Linked DNA regions of Mytilus edulis. The protein of the gene in region 1 purifies or fractionates together with the protein of each later gene. This does not show direct contact. Links are inferred from orthologs where the notes say so. Each region holds a gene or a part of one and is shown on either strand. Other genes may lie near its edges. The genes, in order: T-complex protein 1 subunit theta-like and phosducin-like protein 3.

Evidence for each region.
Region 2: the proteins of T-complex protein 1 subunit theta-like (region 1) and phosducin-like protein 3 purify together in Homo sapiens (affinity purification with mass spectrometry; 3 studies listed by BioGRID and IntAct, with this or other methods). This does not show direct contact. The link is inferred for Mytilus edulis from reciprocal best matches to the Homo sapiens genes CCT8 and PDCL3.

Annotation. Positions count from the first base shown.
Region 1 is NC_092353.1:31,338,190-31,354,673, reverse strand, and holds the start of T-complex protein 1 subunit theta-like, read right to left. Parts: upstream 6,861-16,484; 5' UTR 6,775-6,860; coding exon 6,715-6,774; intron 4,280-6,714; coding exon 4,189-4,279; intron 3,860-4,188; coding exon 3,648-3,859; intron 3,012-3,647; coding exon 2,942-3,011; intron 1,876-2,941; coding exon 1,747-1,875; intron 1,142-1,746; coding exon 1,080-1,141; intron 1-1,079. Other genes in the region: macoilin-like, read left to right, coding at 9,956-10,041, 12,460-12,601, 14,717-14,843, 15,480-15,609. UniProt on the Homo sapiens protein: Component of the chaperonin-containing T-complex (TRiC), a molecular chaperone complex that assists the folding of actin, tubulin and other proteins upon ATP hydrolysis.
Region 2 is NC_092353.1:39,174,665-39,191,116, reverse strand, and holds phosducin-like protein 3, read right to left. Parts: upstream 7,024-16,452; 5' UTR 6,892-7,023; coding exon 6,886-6,891; intron 5,974-6,885; coding exon 5,841-5,973; intron 4,072-5,840; coding exon 3,981-4,071; intron 3,306-3,980; coding exon 3,162-3,305; intron 2,578-3,161; coding exon 2,369-2,577; intron 679-2,368; coding exon 539-678; 3' UTR 470-538; downstream 1-469. UniProt on the Homo sapiens protein: Acts as a chaperone for the angiogenic VEGF receptor KDR/VEGFR2, increasing its abundance by inhibiting its ubiquitination and degradation.

The DNA.
Region 1 (16,484 bases):
TAGTCATTAACATTGTGTTTAAATTTCATTGATTTCTATTTACTTAAACTAAAGTTATTGTGCGAAAACCAAGAATAATGCTAATTTGGGCCCTTTTTTGGCCCCTAATTCCTAAACTGTTGAAACCAAAACTCCCAAAATCAATCCCAACCGTTCTTTTCTGGTCATAAACCTTGTGTCAAAATTTCATAGATTTCTATTAACTTAAACTAAAGTTATAGTGCGAAAACCAAGAAAATGCTTATTTGGGCCCTTTTTGGCCCCTAATTCCTAAAATGTTGGGACCAAAAACTCCCAAAATCAATACCAACCTTCCTTTTGTGGTCATAAACCTTGTGTTAAAATTTCATAGATTTCCATTCACTTTTACTAAAGTTAGAGTGCGAAAACTAAAAGTATTCGGACGCAGGACGACGACGACAACGACGCCGACGACGACGCCGACGCCAACGTGATAGCAATATACGACGAAAAATTTTTCAAATTTTGCGGTCGTATAATCACTATTGCAAACTCTATTCATCTTCATATACAGTAATTTTACTAGTAAAGTAGTGAAATAAGGTTTACCATATCTCACTATTTACATTTCTTTTTAACATGGTATACATGCAGAATTCTTTTTCTCCTGGTGGTACTTGATGGAAATATGCTTTTATTCACTATCATTTCTATTGCAAAATACTGAAATTGTGACGGTCTTTTGGAAATTTTGGTGTTCAAAACCTTAGGACCACAAACTTTCCAGAACTCAATACATGCAGTTTATCACTTCTAAATGTTTGAATACACTGTTTAAGTAAGCAACATTGTGAGTGTTGATTGTTTTGCTACATAAAAACAGATATTAACTTGAATTGGAACATGAACTATGTTATATTTGGTTTATTTTGTCTTATTTGATGTGAATGTTTACCACATTGTTTATAGGATGTTTATTATTTACCACATTGTTTATAGGATGTTTATTACTTACAACATTTTATAGTTCTCTCATGTTCTTTAATGCAAACACTACAAGCTATTTTAATTGTAGATCCAAGAAAATGCAATTGTAATGTCCTTTCCGTTATACTTACCAAAATCTTACTAACTCGGATGTTATCTACATTAAATGTCGCTTTTCCTGAGAGTATTGATACTGAAATACAAAACAATATATTTTATAATCTTTTCCAGTATTCTCTCAAAATAATTAAAACATTGCAAATATTTCTGAAATATCAGTATATGAAGCAGCTTGATTTGAAAAAAAATAGTAATGTATCTGTATTTTCCTTTTTTGAGCCAAATACTGGTTGAGTATACAAATAGTAATGTATCTGTATTTTCCTTTTTTGAGCCAAATACTGGTTGAGTATACAAATAGTAATGTATCTGTATTTTCCTTTTTTGAGCCAAATACTGGTTGAGTATACAAATAGTAATGTATCTGTATTTTCCTTTTTTGAGCCAAATACTGGTTGAGTATACAAATCACAAGAAGAAAAATAATCATGTTTGTCCAATCAAAAGTATATTTGAAATACTGAGAGGTATAAACATCAATATGTAGATTAAAACAATTTCTTTTTTACTCAAATTTTGCTCCATACATGCATCCATTAAGAAACTTCTCATCAGTTTTCAGAAAATACAAATTAAAACAAAAACGGTTATTTGCAAGCTTCGATATAAATTGAATGCCACAAAATATAACCTTGAACATTTTGTTCTTTTCCATTTTCTGCTGAATTGATTACTTACTACAAGCATCTGTTATAAGATTAGCTAGAAAATCTTCATTTCCATACTGTTTACTCATAACTGATGTTCGTATAGTCTTTAATACATCTTCTTTCTTTCGTAGATTCTTCAGTTCATCACAGACTAAACCTATAAATTAAATAATTAACATCATATAAACTTGTTAACTACTAATATATACATCAATATCATCAAAAGTATATAAACTGAAAAAAGTCCTTCTCTAAGTGATTTGACATGAGGATTGTAGACTCTGAAATTATTACTGGATAATTATGATTGTGTGACTCTTCATTTCTTTGTAAACTCTTTTTGTATTAATACTTACTTGGACTTGATAAACTGTGAAAATGGTTTAAATTATACAATAAAGCTTTTTTTTCATTAAAGGGGCACTAGCTACAAGATATACAAAAAAATCAAAAGTATCAATTTTTTTGTTCAATCATCAATGAAAGTAAAATAGTGAAATAATAATTTGCTTTTATCAGCTAAAATGGTTCAATTTTGTCAAATTAAGCTAATGAATTATTCACTTGCAAGACCTCATTAAATCCGTATTCATGTGAACTCCAATTTCACCCCGTAGAAAGAGATAGAATAAAGCATGCATTGCCCATGTACGGTTATTTAAAGGAAAAGAATGTCAACATTGAATGTGAAACAAAGGTAAATAATTTGATTAACTGATTCGATCAACACAAAATCATTCTTATAAAGGTAAAAACGACGATAAACATAAATTTTTTATCTATTATACAAAATTTAACAGACTTCTATGTTTATGTTTACATCGCTTATATGGTCATAGAAGGTCAACTCCATAGTTAATTAGATGGTGTCTTGGCTAAAATTCACATGAAATGAAGCTACATTTTATTGAGACCATGTCATGTAAATTGTTTATTTTATACTTTTGATAGTTTGGGAAAATGTTTTACATTGTTATAAATAAAATATGAGAATTTGAGTCAAATCGGTGAACAGGAATTTGGCAGCTAGTGCCCCTTTAAAGAAAAATGAAAAAGTTCAGGAAAATGTCTTGCAGATGGCAGCAACTTATAAGGTCATATATTTTACTCTGAATGAGACTCATATTTATCAATAATCAGAGGTAAAAAGTATACAAACACAAAACAAAGGGTCATTGTTTATTTTTTAAATGGCTGTGTTGACAATTTGTTAACAAACTTACTAGGAAGAACGTCTAAAGCTTTCTTACAGGCTAACTCATAACCTTCTGTGACTTCAGTAACAGATAAACCCTGCAAAGATAACAAACATTGATATATCATAAATTACATACTTTTTTATAATTTTAGGAATGACTGTAATATTTTTTGCTATCTATGGAGAAATAACATCATAAATGGGGATGCTCACTAAATAACCCTTGAAGCATGTTCTTTAAAAGTGTGCACCACATTTTTTAGGATATTTCGAACAGACAGAAAAAAGATAACACTCATTCCTTATAATTTACTTATAAATTCCATTTTTGAGGTTAAATCATGAAAATACATGACAAAATTATGTCTATGACTTGATAGACAAACACTTTCCGCCAATCATTCAGAAGACTTGTTACATCCAAAATTAAATTATTTGATGATTACTAATGTTAGAATTTACATAATGAATAGAAAATATCTGTATTGAGAAAGATTTTTTTCTGAATGGCTGGTCAATAATGGCAAGAATGAGAGGAACATCTCCAGTGAGATGACCCTAAGGAAGAAACTCTCATAAGTGCATGAATCTGGTGAAATGAACAAATACTTTTTGGTAAATTTTTGAACATTTTGTTTGAAAGTCAGTCAGCCATCATGAAAAAAAGTTGCAATTAACTTAACATAATCACTTTTAAGAAGTCTAGAATTCATTGAAATTACACAATTTACCATTCTGAGTAAGGATTCAGCATGTTCTAATAAAGCCCCAGTGAAAACCATGACAAAATTGGTTCCATCTCCAACTTCCTGTTCTTGCTGTTGGCATGCCAACACAATCATCTTTGCAGCAGGATGCTGGACTTCCAGTTCACGTAAGATAGTGGCAGCATCATTTGTAACAAACAGCTTCTCTATGTGGTTGATGACCATTTTATTCTGACCTGAAAAGCAGAATTGAAAAATGATCATGTAAATTTAGTTTGTAATCTTTGTGTAATTTCAGTGTTCTAGAAGCAATCATTCCACACACCAAATAAAGTTGACCTATTGCTTATAGTATCTGATAAACATGCCTGACCATAAACATTTAATTTCAACAAATAACCATCATATTAAAGGTCATGTAAGAAAAATAAATTGTCATTCTAAGGTATTAAAAGGTCAACATCAAACAATCATTTATCCATACAAGAACATATATGTGCTTCAGAGAAACTTAGATCAATTAATAGGCCAAGGAGCTTATAGACAACCTGCTTTTGACACTTACCAAGTGGTCCATAAGCTGATGCAGTAGTTGCCGCTAGTTCCTTGCAGGCTTCAATATTTCTGTAAACAGCTTCATCTAGCCCACTGTAGTGCTGCAAAAAGTACATCAAAAATAAATAAACAGACTGCTTCTCTTCTTCAACAGCATGGAAATTTTAAAATGGTGTAATTATTGAAGAAATGGAGTTTTACATACTGTACAAGTTCATGTAATACAAAGGCAAAACATAACAGGTAATACATATCTGAACAAAGAATTACCAATGGGAAATAAATTAACTCCAGTTTCAGCCTTGTCACAAGAATTTACATGATACTTTTAAGCATATTCATATGGTATAGTCTAAGAACACTTTGGACATGTTTATACATGTATGTTTGAAAGAGTTTTAGTATTAGGTTAGAACACTGATACATGTACCTAGAGAACTCTTCCAAGTTTCTTTTTTTTTGTATTTTTAATTGAAATGTAATTTCAATTGGCCATCTGTCCTGTAAGTTGATAATTCCAAGTTTAAATTTCATTTTCTGAAGTAGTTGAAAGACAGGGCTTCTGTTTTAGAATTCAATATTTTAAATATTGTGAAATTAACATACTATAAGTATGAACAACTTAGTTGTCTGACTGTTAATGTGTTTCCCAATAGTTTCTCTGTCTTATTTTTAAGACAGGATTTTCTGCACTATATTTTAGCAAGGTCATTTACTTTTAGTAACATTATGTTTGTCACACTTGGTCATGTGACTAGGTGAATACAATTAGCAGTATTACAGAAAACAAAGTCAACATTATTATCTCTGTATTTTCTTAGGGTACTTATACTATTCTTATTTTGAATAGTAATGCGAGAACAATAAGAATAACAAATAAGATAGAAAAAAAACATTGTCTTTTATTTTTCATCTTTTGTTGTATTTTCAAAATGTATACTGTATAAAGTGGGTGTAAAATTTCATGATTTAAAGGCAACAAAGTAAATGAAAAATTTTGGCGGGTTCTGAAATGGTTGCAGTTAAAGAGTTGTAAAAATTGACAGGAAGAAAACTGTGAAACAAAGATAATCATCCAAGGTGCCACTAAAACATGTTTCACAGTATCCACTAAGGACGATATCTTTATTGACAACTTTTATATTGACAACATTCTGATTCATGTACTCAATAGAATTTTGTTATTTAACTCAGATATTTGTCACAGGTGCACAAACTTCTTGTAAATGTTACGCTGGATTAGTTACGAAATTGACCACACTTTTGATAAACTATATTTTTATAAAAAAAATCAAAATGAAAAAAAAATGTTCTTTCTTGAGATTGGAAAGTTTCAGTATGTTTTCCTATTAATATAAAGGACATATACGTGATAACCATGTTTATGACTTGGACATGATGTCCTTGGAAAATTAATCTGGAACATTAAATTAACTAAAATATTGATACACAACTGTAAAAAAATGTTAAAATTTACCATTTAAAATAAAAGACATTTTTACCTAGGAATATTAATGACATGGACATGATTTCCTAGGAAAGTTAGTCTTGGGACATGAATTCTATTAAATGGTAATGAATAACTCTTTAATAATATTAAAACATAAATATTGAGTTTCTATTGTTTATGAAATTTGCCTTTTAAAATATAGGACAAGGACACTTTTACCTAGGAATATTAATGACATCGACATGATTCCCTAGGAAAATTAGTCTGGGGACATAAATTTTATCAAAAAAATTGATACACAACTTTTTAACAATATTAAACATAACATTTAAATTTCCATTGTATATTATGTAATTGAATTTATCATAGGATTTTATAGGACATGATTTCCTAGGACAATTAGTCTAGGGACATAGATAATGATTACTAAATATACTAGTAAATTCTGTAACCATGGACTTTTTATACTAGTAATATTTGTTCGCCCAGACATATTTCACCAGGACCAAGTTCTTATAGTGAAAGCATATTAAATCATTCAACAAATGTTCCTGAATAGTGTTAAAGCACCTTGTCCGGAGATGTATTAATTTAAGGGGTCCCTCCTTTCGGCTTTTGTTGGAAAATTTTATATTATGTAGGGAATGACTGGCCCTCCTTATGTGGCAATAAATGTGAGAATTGCCCTCTAACCTTTTCATTAGATTATAACCTAAAATTTATTACATGGATGTCAATGATTTCGTTGCCATACACTACACACAATATTCTCTCCCTCACCCTTTTTTTTTTAAATTTTGCAACTTGTATATATTTGACTTCCAATTTAGACAAAGAACTTTGATGGCAACTTTTAAATTTAGTTATTATTGTAGGGCCTTGCGGTAGATGTTAAAATCATTTCTTTTTTTCGATTAATCATGAGAACATTCCAGATCATTCTAAATAAAAGAAGCATGGAAACCACATGGGTTTGCCTACAGTAATCATTACTGTTAGTGTGGGTTACGTTTGAAAGTCAAGCGCGGAGTATCAGATAGAATTATATGTAATATGCATTTAATTTCATGTCAAACTTAAATTCACCTTAGCACCTTCTTTTAACATTTGGGCAAAGCCCGGTGCCTTAGGAACGTGCATCGCCATGTTTCAATCTGTTGAGTGTTGTCTTCCCAGAGTGCTTTAGTTACTTTATAGGGAAGTGTTAATTTCATTCTTTCTAAGTCATCTGGTGCGATAATTCTAGCCGAGTTGTCAATATGAGTAATAATGTGTGACCATTCCATCTCATCATTCCAATATCCGGAAATATTCTTTGAAGTTGCAAATCATATAGTCCGTTACCGTTTAAAAATTCATTTTATTGTGAGAGAATTCAAACTTAATCTATAACTTGTCATTCAGAGTGTCAATTATATAACAAATAACAAGTTTCTATATTCAAATAACAAGAATCTATATTCAAGCATGACGAAAAAAAAGTGCTAAAAACTAATTATTTATTTAAAAGTGAATTTTATAAGTCTAAGGATCATAACTCAGACAGACAGACAGACAGACAGACAGACAGACAGACAGACAGACAGACAGACAGACAGACAGACAGACAGACAGACAGACAGACAGACAGACAGACAGACAGACAGACAGACAGACAGACAGACAGACAGACAGACAGACAGACAGACAGACAGACAGACAGACAGACAGACAGACAGACAGACAGACAGACAGACAGACAGACAGACAGACAGACAGACAGACAGACAGACAGACAGACAGACAGACAGACAGACAGACAGACAGACAGACAGACAGACAGACAGACAGACAGACAGACAGACAGACAGACAGACAGACAGACAGACAGACAGACAGACAGACAGACAGACAGACAGACAGACAGACAGACAGACAGACAGACAGACAGACAGACAGACAGACAGATTAAATGCGGTGGTGATATATGATATTTTGCAGTTTCTGTTTAATTTATTAATTCACGCTTCTCTTGATTTGGATAGATTTGAAATATGCTTTAGCCTATATTGTAATACTAGGTATATACAACTTATCTATTGTTAAAGAGCTTATATATTTATGCAAGCTTCTATGGAGGTTTGTCATTTGACAATTATTTATGTTAATATGGTGTTTTGATGAGAAAATAACCCTCTGTAAAAATTATCCCAATAGGTAAATATTTAACCTCCGCCCGGTGCAGGTGTATCCAATTTCATCATATATGGAAAATACACTGCCTTGTATCGTTTTGTTTACTAGTATATATCTTGACTATAGACAGAAGGGAAGTATAGTGGCGCTCGTCTTGACATAGTACATGTAGCTTCATCAATAGATTCTCGATTCATTTAGATCGGTTGGTTAAGAGGTGTTTCACAATATGCCAGTCGTCCCAATTTCGGCAACCATTTGTCACATAATTTGTCGCATGGTATTGTAGAACATAATTTAGAAAAATCATGTTCTACATTACTATGTTACATTACAATAAAATAGGCGAAGACTAGCTTTTTGAACGATCTAGTCTTCTGTGCAGATCTAGAAGGTCAATGTAATAATAATAGTAATATAATAATATAATAATAAATTCTTTATTTAAAGAGGGTAACTCAATTAGAACTAGTCTAATTTTCATTGAGGCCCTCAAACAAAATACATCCACACAGTTAACGTCCGTCTGTCCCACTTCAGATTACTTGCATGTTTTGGTCGAGGTAGTTTTTGATGAAGTTGAAGTCCAATCAACTTGAAACCGTTAGTACTCATGTTCCCTCTGATATTAATATTCTTAATTGCAAATGGTAGGTTCAGATTTTGGACTAATCCTCATCCGATTTTATTATGCAGCACAATATATTTTTAATAGTCGGGACTCTTCGTTCAATAAAGACTTTGAAAGGTTTTATCGTTTGGCAAGAAAAATTAAAGAAATATATTTGATTAATTATTTTTCTAATCAAAACTTTGCTGTATAACTACACTCTTTCGGGAGAGAACACAAAAATAGATTTATAAAAGAAAGTAAAGTAAATATGCCACGGATTGTTTTATTGTAACAAGTGAACCAATGCCATAAATTCACCATTCTCCCAAATTAGGTATGGGACTCGAGTATGGGATATCCTTTCATATCTGATCATATTTTATCCCGTTAAATTTCTTTTTACTCGCAAAGTGTTACTCAGTCTTTGCTTATATATAGTTATTTATCATATATTTTTAATAGAATCAGATTCATATGAAATACGTTTTTATCAAATCATCTGAAAATATAACCAAAAAAAGAACATGCATTTTTCCAGCTGATTTTTTATTCATAGACTTCCTTATTTTCTTAATATCCACATCGTAATGTCCCCTACAACCTTATTACATGCTCAATATAGAGCTATATGAAACTGGCAAATAAAATAAAAAGATTACTTAACAGACAAATAGGGGATTCCTATATATACATAATCATTGGACTAAAGTAACATGAGTAAGTTCCCACTAAAAGACTGATTTTATCTATTTTATAAAAATCGCTCATAAAGTACTAATAGGTAATATTTTTTTGAAAAATATCGATTTCAGTTGAAATGACATATCTGAGTGCACAGTTTTTTTCCTATGCCAGAAAATACAGCAACTGGACGTCATAGGTCAAATGTTGACGTCATTTGATTTATGACCGTCACGCCAGGTATGCGATACGGATTATGCAATACAGAGTAGGTGTTACAAACTGGAAAAAATAACCTTTATTAGATATACAAAATTGCTGTATTTAGTACTAAATATATGATAAACAGACATAATACATGACAAAATCCGTAACTTATACTGTATCATCACGAGAGATCAATATCAGTCCCGAGGGCCGAAAGGTTTTGTCATATACAAGTTATTATATATCATACTTTCAAAATATATATGGCCGTTTCCACAAACTGCTGTTAAAAACCAAAAAAAACAACATTTACTTATATTTTTTTTAAACAGCAAAATTTTAACTAAATTTAATTAAGAAAAAAAATCTATTGTTTAAATCGACTTAATTGTTAGTTATACGTCCTTGTTAGTTTGAATAAAAAATAATGATCTGTATTATGGTTGTTGAAAATATAAGTAAATCAACACTTCATTCAAGTAAACAGACACCTGCCGGAAAGAGACGAGACATTACGGAGTCACACGGAAAATAAGGATCTAAGCGCATGCGAAGATTGAGTTGACAGAGCAGAAGACAATACACAAATATTTGTTATTGTTTTGGACATATTCAGTTTAAGAGTTGTGAAAATTGACAATTAGTTAGCGGATGATTATGAAGAGACGGAATGTCGATTGCGGCAAAATTAGACGGATCCCCAAAAGAACAAAAATAACGGACGGTTTCTACGGAAGGTGATTTTCCATTTCCAATATGGCAGCAAAAATGTTTCAGAGGATAAATATGTATAATCCAATATTGATGTTGTTTCCAAAATACCTTATTATGTTGTCTTATGTTCCATTTAACACATCATAATGTCCAATGCTAACTATTAATGGACAGGATGATAACATGGCGACACCAGATTCTTTGTTCGCAGTCTTTATTTTCATGTTAATTAGGTTACCTGGACAGGATTATTTCCCCTGTTCAGTCTGCATTATTTTTGTTTGTGTTATTTATATAGCTTATTAACTCATATTTTTAATTTAAGAATGAAATCATTCATAAAAATAACAGATAGATCTAGGGTTTTTTATTTAATATTTCCTGGTCAGTGTCCTTAATTATATGTTATTGTATAATTGAAATTTGAAAATGCATTTTATTGAGCAATACAATTTATTTTTACAGTTCTAAAAGTTCTGGATTGAACCAAATTCAATATGTAAATTCCCATATTAACCAAGATAATATATATAATCAACATTATCAATAGTGTACACCGGTCAAAATGCCATATTCTCACTCACACTTTAATTAAAGTTTCCTAGGTAACAATTGATTTTTAACACTATGTCCTAAATGTGTAATAATTTCATTATGTTTGATATTAAAACTTTATGACTTATTAGGATTTACTGTGAACGTACTGCATGTACTCTGATCAGATCATTTGTGGAGAGCAAATGTGCATTTTAATTTATGCTACAGTTCATATTTGATTTATCGTCATACATTTCACATGTTTAAGTACGGCTACAAACTAGGTGATTTTTGTTTTAGCAGTGATAATTTACTTGTTTAATTTTATAATTTAAGTTTTTAAAGCATTGATCTTGCCTAGGACAGTAGGACATTCATTTTTCGTACATGTACACTAAAAAATAAAAAAAATGAGAAAATTGCTAAAAGAAGCAGGATGAAGTCAATTAGAACTGCCAGGCCTACTATAACATCCAAGTCAGACCATACCAAACTCAGCATAACATTATTTATACAGATACAATGAACAAACTCTGCATAAGTTTCGTAGATTTTAGGGGGACATAGAATGACTCTCAGGGGTTCAAATCTTACCATTTTTTACATCAAACTTATACATGTTGTACATGTTATATATTATATGATTAAATCAGCAATGTCCTGGACAAGTTTGAAAATCATATTTTATAATGCCTAATAATGGCCTATAATTTATTTTTAATAGAGTTATGCCCCTGGATACATAATTTATCTGGAAAATCACATTGTTAACCCCCCTCATTTGTAAAATTCATGCCAGAAAATTTTATGGTAAATGGTAATCACAATACATAACATTGTAGCTCTAAGCCTTCATTTCTCTAAGATATAAATCAAAAGTTTTATAGAAAAGAAAAAAAAAAGTGTTTCTTTAGTTAATGACCTTGAACCTTGGATAAATAAAATATGTGCAATGCAAAGGACATTGAAACTTTGTTCGTTTATTTATTTGCCCCAACTGGCATGACTGGTGCTGAAGGGACATTTTGTTTTACCCTTGTCTGTCCCAACCTCCCATACTAGTTTCTGATCTTCGACAAAATTTGCCTCAATTAAATGTTAAGAAACTTGTACAGAATGCTTATTACCACCAAATTCATATCATATTTGAATTTGGTGGACTCCAATTTGGAGTCACTTTTATAGTGTTTGAGTTATGTCCCTGTATAAATGGATAAATTGAAAACTTTGCCATTCCACCCTTTAACTTTAGGTTTGCTTGAACCAAATTTTTTAAAGCGGCTTGACTATGCTTATTACCACTAAGCACAGATCAAATTTGAATTTAGGCCTTAGGGGGTATCACTTTTGCTGTTCTTGAGTTACATGTACATTGTACAATGTTTGTCCCTTTGTAAATCTGTATCCATGGGACACACTTTCCATTCTTCCTCTATACATTGTACCTTATACATGTTATACAAAATTATACTAGTGGCTTATGCTGACATGACAAGTAATATATTTGAGTTCTCACAATGTCCATACTTTTCATAAATGTTATTGCACAGCTTAAACATGTTAATTGTAAATTTAAAACATAAAACCAAGTACAAATGTATCTTCAATTCTTTAGATAATGATGCAGGCTGCACAAGTAAAATAATTGAGTTTTTACAGTGTCTATAGTACTGTAAATTCAGATGTTAATAGGTGCATTTATTATTGCGATTTTGTCATTTTAGAATAAAAATGCCATTTCATTTTTTGCAATATTGAAAAATTCTGTTGAATTCATATAAAAAAAATTTAAAATACGAGTTTACATTATTGCGATTATAACCCTATTCAGAAATGTAATTGCCCAGCTTAAATTAAAAATTTTAAAACAAAATATTTTGAATTGTTTAATTGTTTTCTTTCAGTACCTTTTTGTACCTGAAGTTTTTGATGGTTTGGGCTCTTGTCCTAATGGCAGATTTTATACTAGAGTTCCGGTTTGAGTATCTGTGGCCATTCTGGTTATTGGTTAGAAGTGTCTATGATTCATTCAAATATCAAGGATTGGTAAGTTAAGCATTCAATTATTAATCATAATATGTCAGGGCTCACGCTACCAGGCGACTTGGGCGAAGAAGTCGCCTTCCCGACAGTCACTTCGCTTTCCCCGACCCCCAAAAGCGAAAACAAGTCGCCCTGTTCTTGACGACAGTCGCTTTCAGTCGCTTCCGTCATCGGACATTTTTAATTTTTACCAAGTTGATAAAACATCAAATTTTTAATGATAATGAAAGAAATTCAGACATAAACGATTCATCATCTTTTGAAAAGAGGTTGAAGCATTGTCTTCGCAGTGTGTAGCAGGTTATTTGATAAAAATACAACTTTTTATCACTTCGTGCATTTCCGCAAATACCGGTGCTTGTTACTCGAAAACGTACATCAACCTCAATTTTGGCGGCAAAATAAGTTTGTTACTTCATTTAAACGTGATAAAAGTTGCCTCCAGTAAATTTTAATCCATTTATTGCATTAAAAACGTCATGTTCCTTTCCAAATAACTTGTCAAACATCGTTTATTTTTGTAAATTTTCTTGCATTCGTCCGCCATTGACCGATTTCTAATCTCCGGATCTGAACTGGACCAGCTATGACCGAAATCCGTACTTTTACAATAATTACTACGGACGCACGGATGGAACAGCTGACAGAAGAATATTGATGCCAAAGGGAAAAATTACGCATTCCACACGCATTAAGAGACTTTTGGTTACATCTAATTGATTGTTGTATATAATTCCTTATATTTTTTATGGATTGTTTCAAACTATTGATTAAAGTTGCTTAACTCTGAGACTATTATACTAATATCAATATATTATGGCCCAGCTTAATAACTTTTATATTTTTTTATGAGAAACACTGAATGTCATACACAAGATAATTTTTAATTAAATTGTAATTGATATATTATAATTTCTTAACATTTTTTTAAATATTTTTTATTTTTTTAGTGCTAGATATTTAGTTGGTAGTTTCTCACAAGCTTAGACAACTTTTAATTTCAAATGTTACTTTAATTGTAATTTTTTTACTCAGATATGAATTGAACAGTATAAAAAGAACATTATTTACATATGGCCCTTTATACTATTGTAAAATCCAAACATTGTATCGCACTGCACGAATGAGCACTTCTCCCTATCAGTTTCAAAAAGAGAAGTCACTTCTCCCTATAATTCTGAAGTAGTGTGAGCCCTGATATGTAAATAAAAAATATTTTGTGTTCATTTACATTTGTTGTTTGTCTCTTTAAGAAATATTGTACAATTATTTTAAACCAAAATTTTGAGTGTACAAATAAATTAAGAGAAAAAAACCCAGTTATATTATGTAAGTCATGAACATTTCAGTATAACTACATGTAACAATCCTTGTTACTTGTTAGTCATATATAACATATATTTAAGAGCTATTGGGGAGCAAAATATACATGCAACATTGATGCTGCAGTTATAGAAGCAAACATGAATTACTGACAAATCATACATATGTAGTCCCTCTTTGCCTGGTTTGGACGTCTCTCCATACAAGAAACGCTGCTGGTTGTGAGAGATTCAATTGTGGATATCCTCTGTCATAGATATAAGATGTGGTATGAGTGCCAGTGAGACAACTCTCCATCCAAGGCACAATTTGTAAATGTAAACCATTAGAGGTCAACATACGGTCTTAAACACTGAGCCTTAGCTAATACCTAACAGCAAGCTATAAACATTGATAAAAGGCCCCCAAAATGACTAGTGTAAAACCATTCAATTGGGAAAATGTCTGCCTAAATAATACATAATTCCATTAGACAGTAATATCTAGATTTCATAGAACAAGAGTGTCACTAGAAACCATTCTTTTCCACAGTGAATCACTTAATACAAGCTAAGTTTTGATAGCAAGAACGATTTTTGACTAAATTACCTGAAGGCTTACATGAATGTGTACTGTAAATTTTACCAAATAGCAGTACCTATGGCTCCAAACCATTATTGTACATTTAATGTACTATTTATTCCTATTTAAGATCAAGTATATCTAGTGATAAAAAGTTTGTTTTAAAAGAGAGAAAATTGTAGCTTTTGACTCCAAACCATTTCTTTTACATGTTTCTGTATGCAATATTTTCAGGCATTTTCCGTGTTTTTCGTGTGCATTGCTGTCACCTCAGATGTGGTGTGCTATCTGTTTATACCTGTACAATGGTTATTTTTTGCTGCCAGTACTTATGTCTGGGTCCAGTATGTATGGCATACAGGTAGGTCAAAGGTTGCATATATAAAATTTATAATAAAGGTTTCATTTAAACATCAGCCCTGAAGAGATACATACATTTTTTGTTTTTGTACATTGAGATAGCAAAAGTAAAAACGTTATTTTTCTTAGTAGCTTTATATTCTTAAGTATACACTTTTTGGGGCAGAAATCACTACCAACTCCTGTCAAAAAATGAAAAGGAGAGAAATAACAGTATAAATTAAGAGGTTGAAATATCTTGATATTCTGAACTAACTTTTTACAATATTTGAATGTAAATTCCATAAGAATTTATAGTGAAATGTATCACTTGAAATTCTTAACCAAGTTAAATTAATATTTCACAAATTTATATATAGTGTCCTGTTACCTGTATTTATTTGATAATATTGTAATAAAATATAAGTATAAGTAGTGTTCCCCAATTGACATTTTTTTTTTTTTTAAATACTTGTAAACCACTTCAAATTTCCTATTTATTTTCCTGTAATTATATTTAATCAAAAACAACAATGGATTAAGTTCTGATCTGTCCTGAATTGTAAGTTAGTAATGTATCAAGTTTTTTGTTGATAATGTAGATGTAAAAAAATATATACAAAAAAAGAAAACTTTTGAAAATTTGAACTTTTTGCAGAAAGAGGAATATGTCTTCCTACAGTTTCTCTATGGTTGCTGTTTGTCTACATAGAAGCTTCAGTCAGACTCAGAGAATTGAAAGCTTTACCATTTAATCTTGATCTCTGTAGACCATTTGCAGCTCACTGGTAAGAATTTGAGTTTAGTATTAGTATTCGTGTGCACTGGACATGTAAAAAGAAATGGTGTAAATGTTAGCGAGACAGAAACCCATGAATACAAGTTCTTCATTAAAATAGACCTCCTGTTTAGCCATGCAATTACACTTTATTTTCTACACTTCCTCCAAGAAAATAGACCAACACAATTGCTTTGGTCAATTATATATACTAGATTTTATTTAAGTTTCATCATGCTTCCCAGGATTGCTGATTTCATAATTTGTAACTCCTTACTGTATTCATTTAGTCGGGCAGGGATCTCCATGGATGAAAATTGAACGACGGAGGAACTTACCATCACAAACGGTGTCTACGCCGTACAGTGTAGCGCGATCAAAACTATTTCATCCCTCATAAGGATTGGGCCCCGATTGGTGAAAATGCTAATTTATTGCTTATTTAAATTATATTTATTTGAATTTACATTTTAAATAGAAGTATAAACATGATAAATATTTTCAATATAAATTGCTGTTTATAACCATTCAAAGGCCAAGCAGTACTCAAGCTTTTTGAATAATTACTGTTTTACGTCTTATTTTGTACTTCTTATAAAAAGGGGATGCTGATTACGTAAGTCAAAGTAAAAGCATGTGTTCGAGTTGTTAAACTTCTTTCTTTGTAACTGGATTATTAATTTATTTATTGAATCTAAATTATCATAAGCATTTGCAGAAACTTAGTTGAATAATTCGACAAATGAATCGAGCTTTAAAATTAAACGATAAGTTTTGACGATGGCGGAAGATAATTTAACGATGGCGCAGGTCATTTGACAATTGAGCAAGATATTTGAACGATGGCGTCCAGGTTATGGAGATCCCTGAGTCGGGTAAAAAAAA
Region 2 (16,452 bases), about 7.8 Mb from region 1:
CAATCATACCAAATCTTATTTTTATACAATGGGACTGTACAAGTTTTTATATTTTTTTATAGTCTTTATATTGTATAAAAAAGTTACTCTGCAAAGTAAACAGCATAATTCAGTTCTTCCTTATAGTAATACATTGAATATTGATTTTTTTTTTAGCACAAATGTGGTAAAGGGAAATAACTTTAGTAAGATGAGGCCCCTCATGGGGGGGTCCTAGTAATCACATAATCACCATTTTTTTGCCAATATAATCACATAATCATTAAATATTTGCTTATCTTTAGTAATCAAATAATCATAAACTAAAAATACAGTCCTAGGTAATCAAATAATCATGAAATATTTGGCTTAATAATCAAATAATCATTAAAAAAACGGCCAAGTAATCACATAATCAAAAACCCCATGAGGGCCCTCTAAGATGTAGATCCTAGTCCAAATTTTGTATGCCAGATTTCAAACTACACAGTTAAATGATGATAAAAATATGTTTATTTACAATAAATACATAGGTTATATACATAAATGATAGTAATTATCACCAATCATTGTCATCATCACAATCGTCTATTGTATTTTCTTTCATTGCACGGTCCATTACATCTGATATTGATTTTTTAGGTGGTTCTTCTAATTCTGTTTTAACTGTACCAATTTTTGATAGGTTCCATTCTAGTTCTGAAAAAAAAATATATACAAATTTATTTATATAATTTTATTAACTTTTTTCCAATACATGTTTTATATTCATAATGATTATTTTGTGATACCATTCAGAGAATGTTACTTCCATGAAAAACTTTATATTTCATTTCTTCAAAAGATGTGTGTTTACTTTGTTGTATGTCTACACTCTAGTAACTGTTTTCCATCAGAAATCCATACTCAGAATTTACTGCAACTTTCTTAGAATATTCATCAATCTATCAGTGGGAAGTAATATTATAAAGCATTGGTTGTAGTTGATTCCATTGGAATACTAGACAAAGGAAGACAACTCCAAAATTTTAAGATGACTTTAATGTCTTTCGTGCCATGTGGAGATCACCTGTGCTTCAAGTTTAAGCTCTAAATAATATACAAGATAATGGAGTTTGTTTCCAAGCTAGAATTTCTATATATGTTCAATACTTTAGGAATATTATCTAAACTCATATTTTACTATTGGGTTGTGGTCTATTTGACACATTCCCCATTTTCATTTTAGAACAGATATTAAATTCTTGCACCTTGCAAAAGTAATGTTATTTTCTTGACAAGTATAACATCATTTTGTGACTTGAAGATCTGAGCATACATTTCATTCATAAATTTCTGGAAATATTTATGGATAGGATTATTGAATGATATGATCAATGCACTACTGGGGGCTCATTTATTTTTGTTGGTACTCAATTTCTTGGATTCAGAGAGAATTGTCTTTTGGCATGTTTGGTAGATATTTGATTTTGTTAATTGACAAAAGTCTGCATACATCCCTATAGAAATTATGCACTGTGTTCAACCTTAAAATGTGTGATTCAAATTAACCCATAAAATCCACAAAACTTGGTATCCTACAAATAATGATGAATCTACAGTATATATTTATGTATAGCGAAGGAATCGATAAACTTTAGACAATTTAGATATCAAGTTAGTAACCTATGGTTTTGATTGCATGTCGTGCAATCTTTACCAAAAAATTCCATTTTGAACTTCCAATTTTACTTTTTTATCCAAAATAATTTTTGCATATCAATGAGCAAATCATAGACTTAGTCATTGCTTTATCTGAGACTTACCCAGTTTAAATCAGCAAATCATCCTAAACCCCTAATTAGAATTATGGCAATATTCTCAAAATCTTAACCATAAAATGCCATTGTGCACATCCAATGAGTTAATTATCAGTGTTGTTCGGTCACGAGTTGAATATTTTTCCATATTTGAATTCTTTGATTAGTGTTTCTTTTTATTACATTGGCAAATGGCTTTTTTTCTAAAATTAAAGTAGAAAATGTAAGGAACTTTATCTTTTTCTACGCATTCACAATTTGTTTTGATCCGACGTTATCGACGTCTTGGAAACACCTATTGTTGTATGACGTCAGATGAGTGAAATAACCACGTTTATTTCACATGTGAAATTATCTGTTCTTATTTCACTGGGAAATCAATGTAATTCATGTCAACCAATGTAATAAACATATATAATTGGTTCCTACTAACAGAAACTACTGCAAAACTAGCTAGAAAGTTTAAATGTTCCAAGTTAAATACTTTTTTCATATATCTAAGGTTTGAACCTTCTAAAACATCACAGCTATTTTTGGCATTAAGGCCTTTATAATCTAACACTCTGCATAAGTTATATATCATGACCTACCATCTTGCGTAAAATTCATTCCACCAAATTCATGTGGTCCTATAAACTGTTTCTTCATATCTCCTTCATAATACACAAATATTGTTGGTAGGTTTTTGTCTGGATAATTAGGAATGCACACAGATGATACACTTCTCAAAAATTTAACTTCAGGGAATTTCCCCGCTAAGTTCATGATATGTTGATTGATTAACTTACATAAAGGAATACTGAAAAAGAAAATGAAACATATATTAACTCACCTATAGACTTACATATATACACAGTTTGAGTAATCACACAAAAGAAATTGATTTACTTTTCAACTTGTCTATCTGCTACAAACTTGCACAGTTGAGTTTATATTTCTGCTTTTTGCAATATATTTTTTCTTATTTGAAAGTATAGTCATAGGGTACTCAAACCTTTATATAATATATAGTCACCATTAATACCTTTGTCTAGGAACCTGTTGTCCAGTGGTTGTCATTTGTTGATGTAGTTCTAAGTGTAACTGGTTTCTTGTGTTGTATATAGATTAGACTGTTGGTTTTCCTGTTTGAATTGGTTTTCACTTGTCATTTTGGGGTCCTTTATAGCTTGCTGTTCGGTGTGAGCCAAAGCTCCATGTTGAAGACCGGTCTTAGATTTATAATAGTTTAGAAACTACTCTCTATATATGTCACTTTGGATGGATTCATGTGATATTTTCTAATCTTTAAATTTTCTGTGCTTTTAAGTACGGTAACACATTTATGTCATTACAATAAATTTCAAAATTAATTTTACAAAGCTGTGTTTAAAAATTACTTACTCATTTTTATACACATGTAAAACTACCCATACACCTTCCCCTGCTTGGTTAACTTCTGTTACATAATCTACTTTTGATATTTCTTTGACACATCCATATTTGGCTTTCATACTAGCTTCCCTCATTTCTGCCATTCTTTGTCTCCTGTTATATAAACATATATTTAATGACTGAATTAATTATAGAACATGATAAGACTTGTTGTCTAGCACTCAGGTATGATGTTTTTATAGTAAATCTGATGTATGTGTCTTGACTGATACTTAAGTCTGAAAAAACATGGTTTATTACTTAGTTGAAATTTACTTTGAACAAGCTTTAAGTACATTAAATGTGAGTACTCTTATAAAAGTATGTTGTGTCTTTTGTAAGTTTTTAGATACTAAATTGAAGATTTTTGGCCATGGTGAGTCCTTTAGGTAAGAAGAAGATATCTTATATAATTTATATATTTTAGTCTCAAATAAAGCCTATAAATAAAGCTATTAAAAGACATTAAATACAGATTACTTTCAAACTTATGCTGTAAAATAATATTGATATGTGTGTTAAGTTTATACAAAAAATTTCAATCTTAATGCATCTTTTGACTTATTTAATTGTGAGTCCAGACAGATGTTCATGAGTTCAGGACTCATGGACTTGCCTTAGAGAGAATCCTGAGCTTTTTCACAACTTTTGTTAGTCTTTGCATGCTACATGTCGATCTGATAAATTATCAACCAATTATAAAATTGAATGAAATAATAGTTACCGTAACACAAACTTGTGTTTTAGAAATAAACATGAGTCCACAAGAATTGGCTATGAAAATCTTACCTGTATGCTTCAAAGATTCTTTCTTCTTCTTCATCAACATCATCCTCTTTTTCATTCAATTCATCTAAAGTCATGTCATCAAATGCTTTACCTATAATAAAAAAATTCAGCTAACTCGCCGTTTCAGAATGCATTCTGGGTAATATTTTCAAAAGTGTACACCAAAAAGTTGTGATTGTTTTAAAACGTAATTAACAAAAGAAATTCAACCAATGACAAAATGTTATTTTCATTTTGGTGTACGAACAATGAGATTACAAACAGTCCTGTAGATTCTGAATAGGTGATCATCTGATCCTTTTTATTACAATACAAGTACACACCTGTGATATCGCGGGTACGTGACTGAATTAAAGTATATAACTATGCCTAAGCCTTATTTTAGTAATTGGTATTGTCATCTGATAAGTCATGTCGATTATAAGATACACAGTTTTCTCTGCTTTCAAATCTTTCTGTTTGAATCTGTCGACCTGGATCCGGAACTTATCAATTATTGGAAATATTAATTATTTGGAAAACAAAAGGTCTTGGCTATCCAGGAATGGAGTATTTTTTAATCAACAGCATTGTCCTATATTAGTTATCTTAGAAAGTCTTGCTGATTGCTGAATAAAACTACACTATAGGGAACAATTTGACAATGATTGAATTTAGTAGTGTCAGTCCTAGAACACACCCGTGATATCGCGGGTCTGTGGCTGAATTAAAGAATATAACTATGCGTAAGCCTTATTTTAGTATTGGTATTGTCATCTGATAAAGTCATGCCGATTATAAGATGCACAGTTTTCTCTGCTTTCAACATCTTTCTGTTTGAACCTGTCGACCTGGAACTTATCCATTATTGGTATTATTAATTTTATTTGGAAAACAAAAGTCCCTGAAAAGGAGTATTTTTTAATCAACAGCATTGTCCTTAATGAGTTATAATTAAAGTTGAATTCTTTGATTCGCTGTTTTACGTCATTCCGGCTAACAAATTGAAAACTGTACATGCTGTACCTATACGCCTTATTTTAAGTCCAGAATTATATTATTCGTATTGTCACCTTAGAAAGTCATACTGACTTAAATACTACAATCGGGAACAATGCGACAATGATTGAATTTAGTAGTGTCAACCCTGTGATTACGACCGGTGTATATAGCAAAATCCTAAATACAGCGTTTGGTGGTGCGCCTGTCAGATGCGGAACGTACAGATAAGGTAATAGGTAACAGGTGAATATACTTTTGGTATCGGTATCAGATTCGACCGGGAACTTCTTAATTATTGGCAATATTAATTATGTGGGAAACAAAGGGGTCTGGAGTGGTGTAATTTTTAATCAACAGCATTGTACTATATTAGTTAGATATAAAGTTGAATTCTTTGATTCATCGTTTTTACGTGATGACGGCTGATAAATTGGACCTCGCAATTTTGGTATTATAGATGTTATATTGTATATTTTTCTTAAATGCTTAATTAATTAACAGTAAGTTACAATTATTTTCTTACACTATCTTAAAATGTCAGTGGCTGTCAAACTCAAAAATGTCTCACTTTTCAGATTTGAATTATAACATACTTAAACGTAGTCGTATATCAGAATAAAATGTTTCATTGTTTCATTGGCAATCATACCATTACATAATCTATAAGAAAACCACTTCAGATATATATAGCATCACATTTACAATTATAGCATCACATTTATGATTATAGCATCACATTTACATGATGCTAAAAGGCCGGGGGAGAACAGTTCTTCTTTTTGACATAATGGCCAAGTTTGGTTCCAAATGACCATGAGATAAATCCAGTATGTATAAATGCATTGGATATAAATGGATCAGATTACTATGAAATTTTACCATGTGATTTTTCATCTATTGTGTTTTCTACCATACTAATGATATCATCCTCTGTAATTTCTTTCTCTTCTTTTGGTGGAAGAATTCCTTTCTGTCGGAGAATATCATTCCACTGTGTATCTGCATTTGGGTCCTAAAATATGATATTTCATGAATACAATGTATACATATAATAACAGTATGGGCAATCCATAATATCTCACAGTTTCCATTAGACCTCCCTAAGCTACAATGTACATGTACATGTTGTGAAACAGTGGTGCAAATACATGAGATAGCTTACTAGATGTATCCTTCAGTTGAGTCTAAAGCTCAGTATTTTGACATAGATAAAATTAAAACCTTGATGCATCTTTGGGTTCAAAAGATTTGGTAAATGTAATTGTAAACATACAATGTTGTGTATCTTACACATGTTACAGTCAGGTATTTTGTAATAAGAATGGGTCACACCAGTCAGACTGACACCCAGTCTATTCTAAAATATCAAACTTAAACCCGTCACTTACCATGCTACATGTACATATTTCCAAGATTTGTGAATCACATGTATTTGCATATAAATAATAAAAGATAAATGGAAAATGAAAACAGAGACCTACATGTACATTTACACAACAACCTTACCTAAGAGTAGAAAACAGTCCAAGGTATAGTTCTGGTCACAGGTACAATTTCTAGGCTTATTCATCTTATACTTAAGACAATGGTGGTTCCATGAGGAGGGTTCTGGGAGGAACCCCTTTTTTGGGACACTCGATGCATTTGAATGGGCACATATACATGTAGTTGGAACACACCCCTTCCCCCTCTTTTTCATCCGAGGTGAGGAACCCACATTTTTGAAAATGCCTGGATTCGCTCAAGTAACTACAGAGAGGTCCATTTCTGATGACAATTGAATATGCAAATTTTAGTATTTGAAAAGCAGATAAACTAAAGACTTCATCATAATTTTTGACAATTTTCAATGAGATTTCTCAAAATTTATCATGTTAAAAGTTATTTTCAAACATTATAAGTAACGCCATATTAAATAACTTACGTCCATGTTTATCTTTTAAGCTTGGAATGATATCAGAGCTTCTGGAAACTGTTACTCATATGATATTTCACACATGGATCGGTTGATAAACAGGAAGTCCTCAATATTACCATATAAGGAAATATAAACGTCGGCTCGGATCAGGTTTTTATTTCCGGGTTGATTACAATTAAGCAAGTGCTCGAAATATTCGGGAACATGATTAGATATACTGTTCCCAGAAATATTGTATCTTTAAATTTCTATCATTTTTGTGAACATCGAAAAAGCAGTATCCACGGTAAACAACTTCTTGCGGTGATTTAAACTATAATTCCTGTACATTTTGACATAAATAAACACTTTTAAGCTTACCTAGGACTATAACTCAAGGATGTACAGATAATCCCAGATAATTTTATTTATTAGCGATTATTCGTACCCAATTTCAACTTATGTATGGTATTTTTTATCATAAGTAACTGCATGTGGTTCAGAGCAAGGCCATTTCTATAAGGGGCGGATCCAGACAGTGTAGCCTAAAGGGGGGGGGGGATCACCCGACCGGGAAAGGATAAATGGGGGTTCCAACTATAAGTCCCCATTCAAATGCATTGATAGTCCAAAAAAGATAGGGTTCCAATCCCCAGGACCCCCTCTGGGTCCGCCACTGTGTACACAAATCCTAAATCTGGGACATAATTAAGATAGTCATACCAGTGCTTATCCTTAGGTTAACATATAACCAGAGCAGGTTTTCGATCCTTAAATTGGTAGTCGGAACTCAATTAGGGGTCAAATTTCTTCAAATATTGATCTAAATAAAAACAATTTTTCTCTCTTGTAACTTTGTAAACGGCGTAAAGGTAGCATAGGTTGCGGATTAACTCAACACTTGGTCAGTTTTCTTCTCGAGGTTTTCTTCGTATTTAGTTTAATTATGTCATTATGATGTTCATGCAGTTGTATTTCATTCTACATTATTGTACAGCAGCTGTTTACATCAACGTCTTTTTATGCAGCGTATTTGACTCTATTCATATTGTAATTTCCCTGTCAACATTCTTTTAGTTTTTAGAGAATATAAAGCATCTATCTACCACACAGCTGTTTCAATAGATTACAATGTAATTCAAGCGAAGTTTAGTTAAAACACAAACCATCTGGAATATCTTTGCTACATAAGATCACAAAAATTTGTTTAGCGTTTGTATGGACAACAATTCTTTGGAAATCATACACTTTTTTTAAAACCCGGTGTTTTTAACACAGGCACTGTATTTATATACCTCAATAATGTTATATTAAGGTATATAGGAATATTTTCTCCTGAGACTGGTGCCAGCCCTGTGCTTCATCATATAAATATCAAGCACAAGTCCTCCCGTTAGTGGTTTAGTATCATACCATCCTAAAATATATGAGAAGAACATAACCCGTATCATATGCCAACAACTGGTTTGAGAAAAAATGCGTTTATTCCATATTGATAGAACTTCATGAATGGGATTTTCAAATAAGCATATTCACCTGCGGAAAAGTATATTCACCGCTCAAAACGTCGCGTGCATTTGCGTATAACGATACAATATTTTACGTTTAGTTGGTTTTGGTAAATAATTGTTTTTTTACACATATTTTTTTCTCTCGGAACATGGAATAAAATAATGACGATCTTTTGTTTTGGTAAATATGTGGTTTAATTGATTTTTGAAAACCCTAGTAACATTCACTTCGGTCGTTGGCCTTAAAGTTAGTGAATATGAGTTTTTTTTTCAAAAGTCAACAAAACCACACATTTATCTCATCAAAAGACAGTAATTGTATATTATTTCAAATGAGGAGACCCTATAAGTGAACCAATATTAAAGCCAAAATATGCCATCTTTAATTACCTGACAACAGTATCGTAACTATATCCCTTATTGACTAAGTCTGTTTAAATCTTTTGTTAAGCTAAAATGAGGTGAATGCCGACATTTTTGTGCTTAATTTGTAAAGAATATTATTATAAAAGATTATATGTGAAATACCTGAACGTATATGATGTCTGCAGTATTTTGCACCTCCTATTTCATTTCATCTTCTCAAATATCTGAATGATCTCAGTTTGAATGCCATTTTGACTTAACCATATCTGCACACTATACAGAAGGCACACTTTCCCCCCGTTACTCCTGTTAAACCCTTTATCATTAACATATCATTGAATCTTGCTTAGAATCTTTATATTACAATGCCATTGTCCGTCTCCTATATATAATATGTTTTCGGGTCCCATATTATTCTAGAGGTTTGATCCCTTACTAAATTACTGTCTTCATGGTCTTTGTCGAGTCGTTATTTTGAGTTAAGTACGTTACAGTTTGTATCCGAAAGCAGTCTTCTTAAATTTCTTATTTCAACTTTTAAAATTCTCTAAACCTTGATTAGATATCAATAAAGTGGAATATTGCACAAAAAGTAAAGTAACAAAATTACCGAACTCCGACGAAAAACGTGCACCACCTATTTTTCTTTAAATTCTTTAGAATTATTTGAAGGGTTCACCAAAAAGCATGTTTCCTTTATATTTGGGTGCCTATCATTATAGCATTCCTAATTCTCCTAAACCGGCATTATCTATATGTTTTAATTTATAGTACATGTATATTCAGAGACATAACATAATTTATGTCTCTGGTATACTAAAGGACGTAACGTTATCACTGAGACGGGCGGATTTTTTTTCGGGGGGGGGGGGGGGGGGCAACCTCCCCGTTTTGTGGGGAAAAAATATAAGTTCCAAAAGGAAAAAAATATATAACAGTATCCTCGGGCTCGTGTCATATATAACGGAAATTTTGGGGTCCTCTAAGTCTTGGCAGGTCATACAATTTGCATTACGCTTTGTGTATAATTTATTAGTTATAATGCTGGATCGCAGTACCTCTAGTTCATTTCTGTTTTTTTTATTTTTATTATTTATTTTTTTGTTTGCTCTTGAGGTTTAAAAAAAAAGGTTGGCAAAGTTTGAAGTGGGACTTGTTGACTACTAGAACGGATGATAATCTTATTATTAATTGTTATTATAATTATTATCATTATGTTCAATGTTGTAGAGCCGTATACAGAAATGTAATACTTATTTTGTCTGAATTTTGAAAAATTATCCCGTCGGAACCTCACGCTAACTGGTTCCTCTTTAGCGTGGTTCGTTTCTTGCTATGGTCACTTTAAATCTGGCATTTTCGTCGGTCTGCAGGATCAGTCGAATATTATTCGCCGCCATTTTCACAACGTGCTATTATAGCAAATTTTTTGGAAGCCTCTAACGATGGCATACAAAGGAGGACAGAAAGTTCAGAAGGTTATGGTACAACCTATTGTATCCTTTTTTCAAATTAATGAAAGAAATCGCCATAAGATTTCACAGTTTCATGTAAACCACAACATGTATTTACCTCCAGTCAACTGTAGTTGTGTACAAAACTTCCGTTTTACGAAAGTTAAAAAATCAAACTGACTGTACAGACAACACACTACATCTCCTGCTACATGACTCACAAAGATTGATAATGCTGACGAATTACGCTTTTAAATAACGAAAGGGTCACATTTGCATAAGAAAACAAATGTAAACATGGCTATGTTTACACCTCAATTGGGCTCAAATTTACAAAACAACCCACAAAGCAGTCCACCCTGTGCAGTGGAAAAGAGACTAACAAAAACAAATCAGTCCTGATTGCAAACAAATTCTCCAGGTCTGCCAATTTCCTTTTGTAATTTGTTTGATTGGTTAACTGTTTCGGTAGTTTTTCAAATCATTATAGATGCCAACCACTACGATTTTGCATTCAATACTAAGCTATTACGGTCAATGTCAAATAGTTAAGGATTCCCAGTCATCACTGTTAAATTTTGTAAAACCCAGATTTTTATCTATATAGATATATTTCAAAATTTTGATCATGTTTATATATTTAAATATAATAAATATATAAACCTGATCAAAATAATTTAATTTTGAAATATACATTATATAAAGAAGTCTTTTAAAAGGACCTACAAACCTGAAGATATTTGAAAAGTGATCCCTAGCTAACCATACATACAGCTATATACATACTTTTATGTCTCAATAATGATTCTTTGTGTATTTTATTTATTATTATATTTTATATTCAAATATTTTCCATCATTATGTCTGTTTCAAATTGAGTAATAATTTTTTAAAAATGAAAGACGAGCTATATTTTTTGCTAATTGCAGACCAACCTTTGAACCTTATGTATATATTTATATAATTACTTGTAAAGCTTTCACACAATGATTCCTATAAATCTATAAAAAAAAATATGTCTAAAAACATGCAAAATTCTGTCATGTTTAAATGTTATTCATGCATGTAACGTTAGTTAAAGCCTTAAAGGTTGGTTCCTTGAATGTTAAAGGTAATATTATACATGCACTGTACTCACTTCTAATTATAATGTCATGAATGTATCCACTTTAAATGAATATGTTTAAACTATGAATGTATAATAGAAAGAGTATTTTCCTTAACTGTTACACAGAACTTGATTTTTAGATATCTACAAAATGTAAGTATATAAATTCTGATTTATTGTTGAAATTAATTTTCCTTTTACTAATAAATCTTATTCAAAGCATTACAAAAGTCAAACATCTTTGTATGTTGTATTCAGACGGACAAAAGGGAAGCTTTATAGATTAGCATTTTGTTTCAAACTAGGTTTTTTTAAATGTTCCATTATAAACAACTTTCAAAAGAGAAGATGGTTCATCTCTTGAATCCAAATAAAATAATGTTCAAGGGTGCATTTCTCTCTTAACACAAACGATGCCAACGGCTAAGCATGCACATGGTTTGATCATTTGTTTCTAACATACATTTGCAAAGTTTACATAAACTTTGACAAATTATGCACTCTCTAAAAATGTGTCTACAGTTTGTCTTTCATCGTTTGTTAGAACAAACACCACATTTGTTTATAACTTCACTCTGATTAACTGATGTATTTGTTTCTACGTTTGTAAAAGTCTGTTAACCAACAACATGTGCATGCGTTATTAAAAGTTCAAACAGGGTCAGTTAACATTGATTAAACGATGTATTTGTTTCTACTTTTGTAGCGTATAGAAAACAGCAACAAACGCCACACATTGTTTACAAAATTTTTGTTAGAAAAAAATGCACACTTAATCATTGAATTTTGATTTTGCTTTTGAAATACTTGACTTTTTTTCTTACTGATTACTTTTTGTATTAACAGAGATCCAGGATCTCAGTATGGCTGTATGAACAGACAAACCTCAGGATAGAAGGATGTATTGTGGTAAGATTATATCTTTATTATGAAAAAGCCAATCATTCATTGATTAAATTGGCTGTTTAAAAAAAATAATCTGGTATTTGATTTCAATGTAAATATGTGGTAAAGTAAAATTAAATCTTGCATTTGATTATTTAAATTTAAAGGAATAGAGTCAATGATTAGATAAGTTACTACCAGTATATGATAAGCCCTACTTCTTTTTTTTTAGCTCACCTGGCCTGAAGGGCCAAGTGAGCTTTTCTCATCACTTGGCGTCCGGCGTCCGTCGTCGTCCGTCGTCGTTAACTTTTACAAAAATCTTCTCCTCTGAAACTGTTGGGCCAAATTAATCCAAACTTGGCCATAATCATCATTTGGGTATCTAGTTTAGAAATTGTGTGGCGTGACCCCGCAAACCAACCAAGATGGTCGCCACGGCTAAAAATAGAACATAGGGGTAAAATGCAGTTTTTGGCTTATAACTCAAAAACCAAAGCATTTAGAGCAAATCTGACATGGGGTAAAAATGTTCATCAGGTCAAGATCTATCTGCCCTGAAATTTTCAGATGAATCAGACAACCAGTTGTTGGGTTGCTGCCCCTAAATTGGTAATTTTAAGGAAATTTCCCCGTTTTTGGTTATTATCTTGAATATTATTATAGATAGAGATAAACTGTAAACAGCAATAAAGTTCAGCAAAGTAAGATTTACAAATAAGTTAACATGACGGAAATGGTCAAATGACCCCTTTAAGAGTTATTGCCCTTTATAGTCAATTTTTAACCATTTTTTGTAGATCTTAGTTATCTTTTACAAAAATCTTCTCCTCTGAAACTGCTGGGCCAAATTAATCCAAACTTGGCCATAATCATCATTGGGGTATGTAGTTTAGAAATTGTGTGGCGTGACCCTGCCAACCAACCAAGATGGCTGCCACGGCTAAAAATAGAACATAGGGGTAAAATGCAGTTTTTGGCTTATAACTCAAAAACCAAAGCATTTAGAGCAAATCTGACATGGGGTAAAAATGTTCATCAGGTCAAGATCTATATGCCCTGAATTTTTCAGGTGAATCGGACAACCTGTTGTTGGGTTGCTGCCCCTAAATTGGTAATTTTAAGGAAATTTCCCCGTTTTTGGTTATTATCTTGAATATTATTATAGATGGAGATAAACTGTAAACAGCAATAATGTTCAGCAAAGTAAGATTTACAAATAAGTTAACATGACCGAAATGGTCAGTTGACCCCTTTAGGAGTTATTTCCCTTTATAGTCAATTTTTAACAATTTTTTGTAAATCTTAGTTATCTTTTACAAAAATCTTCTCCTCTGATAATACGTGGCCAAATTAAACCAAACTTGGCCACAATCATCATTTGGGTATTTAGTTTTAAAAATGAGTGGCGTGACCCGGTCAACTTACCATGATGGCCGCCATGGCTAAAAGTAGAACATTGGGGTAAAATTCAGTTTTTGGCTTATAACTCAAAAACCAAAGCATTTAGAGCAAATCTGACATGGGGTTACTGTTCATCAGGTCCAGATCTATCTGCCCTGAATTTTACAGGTGAATCGGACAACCTGTTGTTGGGTTTTACAAAAATCTTCTCTGAAACTACTAAGCCAAGTTAATTATAGATAGAGATAATTGTAAGTAGTTAGAATGTTCAGTAAAGTAAGATGAACAAACACATCACCATCACCAAAACACAATTTTGTCATGAATCCATCTACGTCCTTTGTTTAATATTCACAAAAACCAAGGTGAGCGACACAGGCTCTTTAGAGCCTCTAGTTTTATATATACACAGTTATTTCATATTAAGACTTTAAAAATTTCAATTTACTGATCTGTGAAATATACAAGCATATTTTTTTCATTCCAGGGTTTTGATGAATATATGAATTTGGTATTAGATGAAGCAGAAGAAGTTCACATGAAGACAAAGAACAGAAAAACACTTGGTAAGGCCTGGTTTGTTGTTGATACTTGGATATAATTATAAAAGATAAATCTATACTACTTATACAAGTAGGTCAAATTTGTTAGCTGGAATGAAATAAAAAAGACAAATCAAAGAATTAAACTTTATATATAAGGCCAAAAAAAAATATATGTCTGTTTCCTGCTTCCAAGGCAAATAAATCAGGGTCGGTAGGTCGGGATTTTTTTTTTTTTTTTATTTATTTATTTTTTTTTTGCACTCCCGGTCAGATTTGCAGTCCGTTAAATGTCATGTTTGGTGAGGGTCCTGTACCCCAAAATGATTTAATCCCTTTAAAGAAGCTTTAATTGAATAATCCTCCCAGTGCTGACATTATTTAAACTTTAATTGTAGCACATTTGTGCTGGGAGCAGCCATTTTGATGTTTGGGCATAGTAAAATACGGATCTGGATCGGACTGGAAATGAATTTTTCCCGACTGGAAACAATGTTTTTCCGGATTTGAATAAAAAGATCTAGGGTCGGGGGGTTTGAGTCAGGGTCGGTCGGGAAACAGGAAACAGACATATATTTTTTTTTGGCCTAACTTATATAGTACAATGGATTAGAAATTCGTCATTCAAGGTCTTTTTTGTTATCCACACAATTAATAAAACCAATAATTAACAAGTACAGGTGGAATCTGATACTGATACCTATAGTCACATGATAGTACCTGTTACCCAATCTGTAAGTTTAGTCTCTCTCTGGCACACAACTTAACGGTGGGATTTTATATAAACACAGGTCATAATCACACCTGAACTTCATCATTAAACACATTAAACACAATTATATAAATTACAAGAAGTTTCTGGTTGTACTAAGAAAACCAGTGCAGATTCAAACAGAGACATTGTGAAAGCAGATAAAACTGTGCACCTTATAAACATGAGAAATTCAAAAATGTTGCATATGCAAAATAAGATATGTGAAATAATTTACATAAATTGATTCAGTCAAAAATATCTCTTAGTTAAATATTTAGGTGATTGTGGGTATTTGACTGCAGTGTTTCTGTATAAAAATAAGTAGATGTGGTATGATTGCCAGTGAGGCAACTATCCACCATAGTAAGTAGATGTGGTATGATTGCCAGTGAGGCAACTATCCACCATAGTAAGTAGATGTGGTATGATTGCCAGTGAGGCAACTATCCAACATAGTAAGTAGATGTGGTATGATTGCCAGTGAGGCAACTATCCACCATAGTAAATAGATGTGGTATGATTGCCAGTGAGGCAGCTATCCACCATAGTAAGTAGATGTGGTATGATTGCCAGTGAGGCAGCTATCCACCATAGTAAGTAGATGTGGTATGATTGCCAGTGAGGCAACTATCCAACATAATAAGTAGATGTGGTATGATTGCCAGTGAGGCAACTATCCAACATAGTAAGTAGATGTGGTATGATTGCCAGTGAGGCAACTATCCACCATAGTAAGTAGATGTGGTATGATTGCCAGTGAGGCAACTATCCACCATAGTAAGTAGATGTGGTATGATTGCCAGTGAGGCAACTATCCACCATAGTAAGTAGATGTGGTATGATTGCCAGTGAGGCAACTATCCACCATAGTAAATAGATGTGGTATGATTGCCAGTGAGGCAACTATCCACCATAGTAAGTAGATGTGGTATGATTGCCAGTGAGGCAGCTATCCAACATAGTAAGTAGATGTGGTATGATTGCCAGTGAGGCAGCTATCCAACATAATAAGTAGATGTGGTATGATTGCCAGTGAGGCAGCTATCCAACATAGTAAGTAGATGTGGTATGATTGCCAGTGAGGCAGCTATCCAACATAGTAAGTAGATGTGGTATGATTGCCAGTGAGGCCGCTATCCACCATAGTAAGTAGATGTGGTATGATTGCCAGTGAGGCAGCTATCCACCATAGTAAGTAGATGTGGTATGATTGCCAGTGAGGCAGCTATCCACCATAGTAAGTAGATGTGGTATGATTGCCAGTGAGGCAGCTATCCACCATAGTAAGTAGATGTGGTATGATTGCCAGTGAGGCAGCTATCCACCATAGTAAGTAGATGTGGTGTGATTGCCAGTGAGGCAGCTATCCACCATAGTAAGTAGATGTGGTATGATTGCCAGTGAGGCAACTATCCAACATAGTAAGTAGATGTGGTATGATTGCCAGTGAGGCAACTATCCAACATAGTAAGTAGATGTGGTATGATTGCCAGTGAGGCAGAAGTAGATGTGGTATGATTGCCAGTGAGGCAGCTATCCACCATAGTAAGTAGATGTGGTATGATTGCCA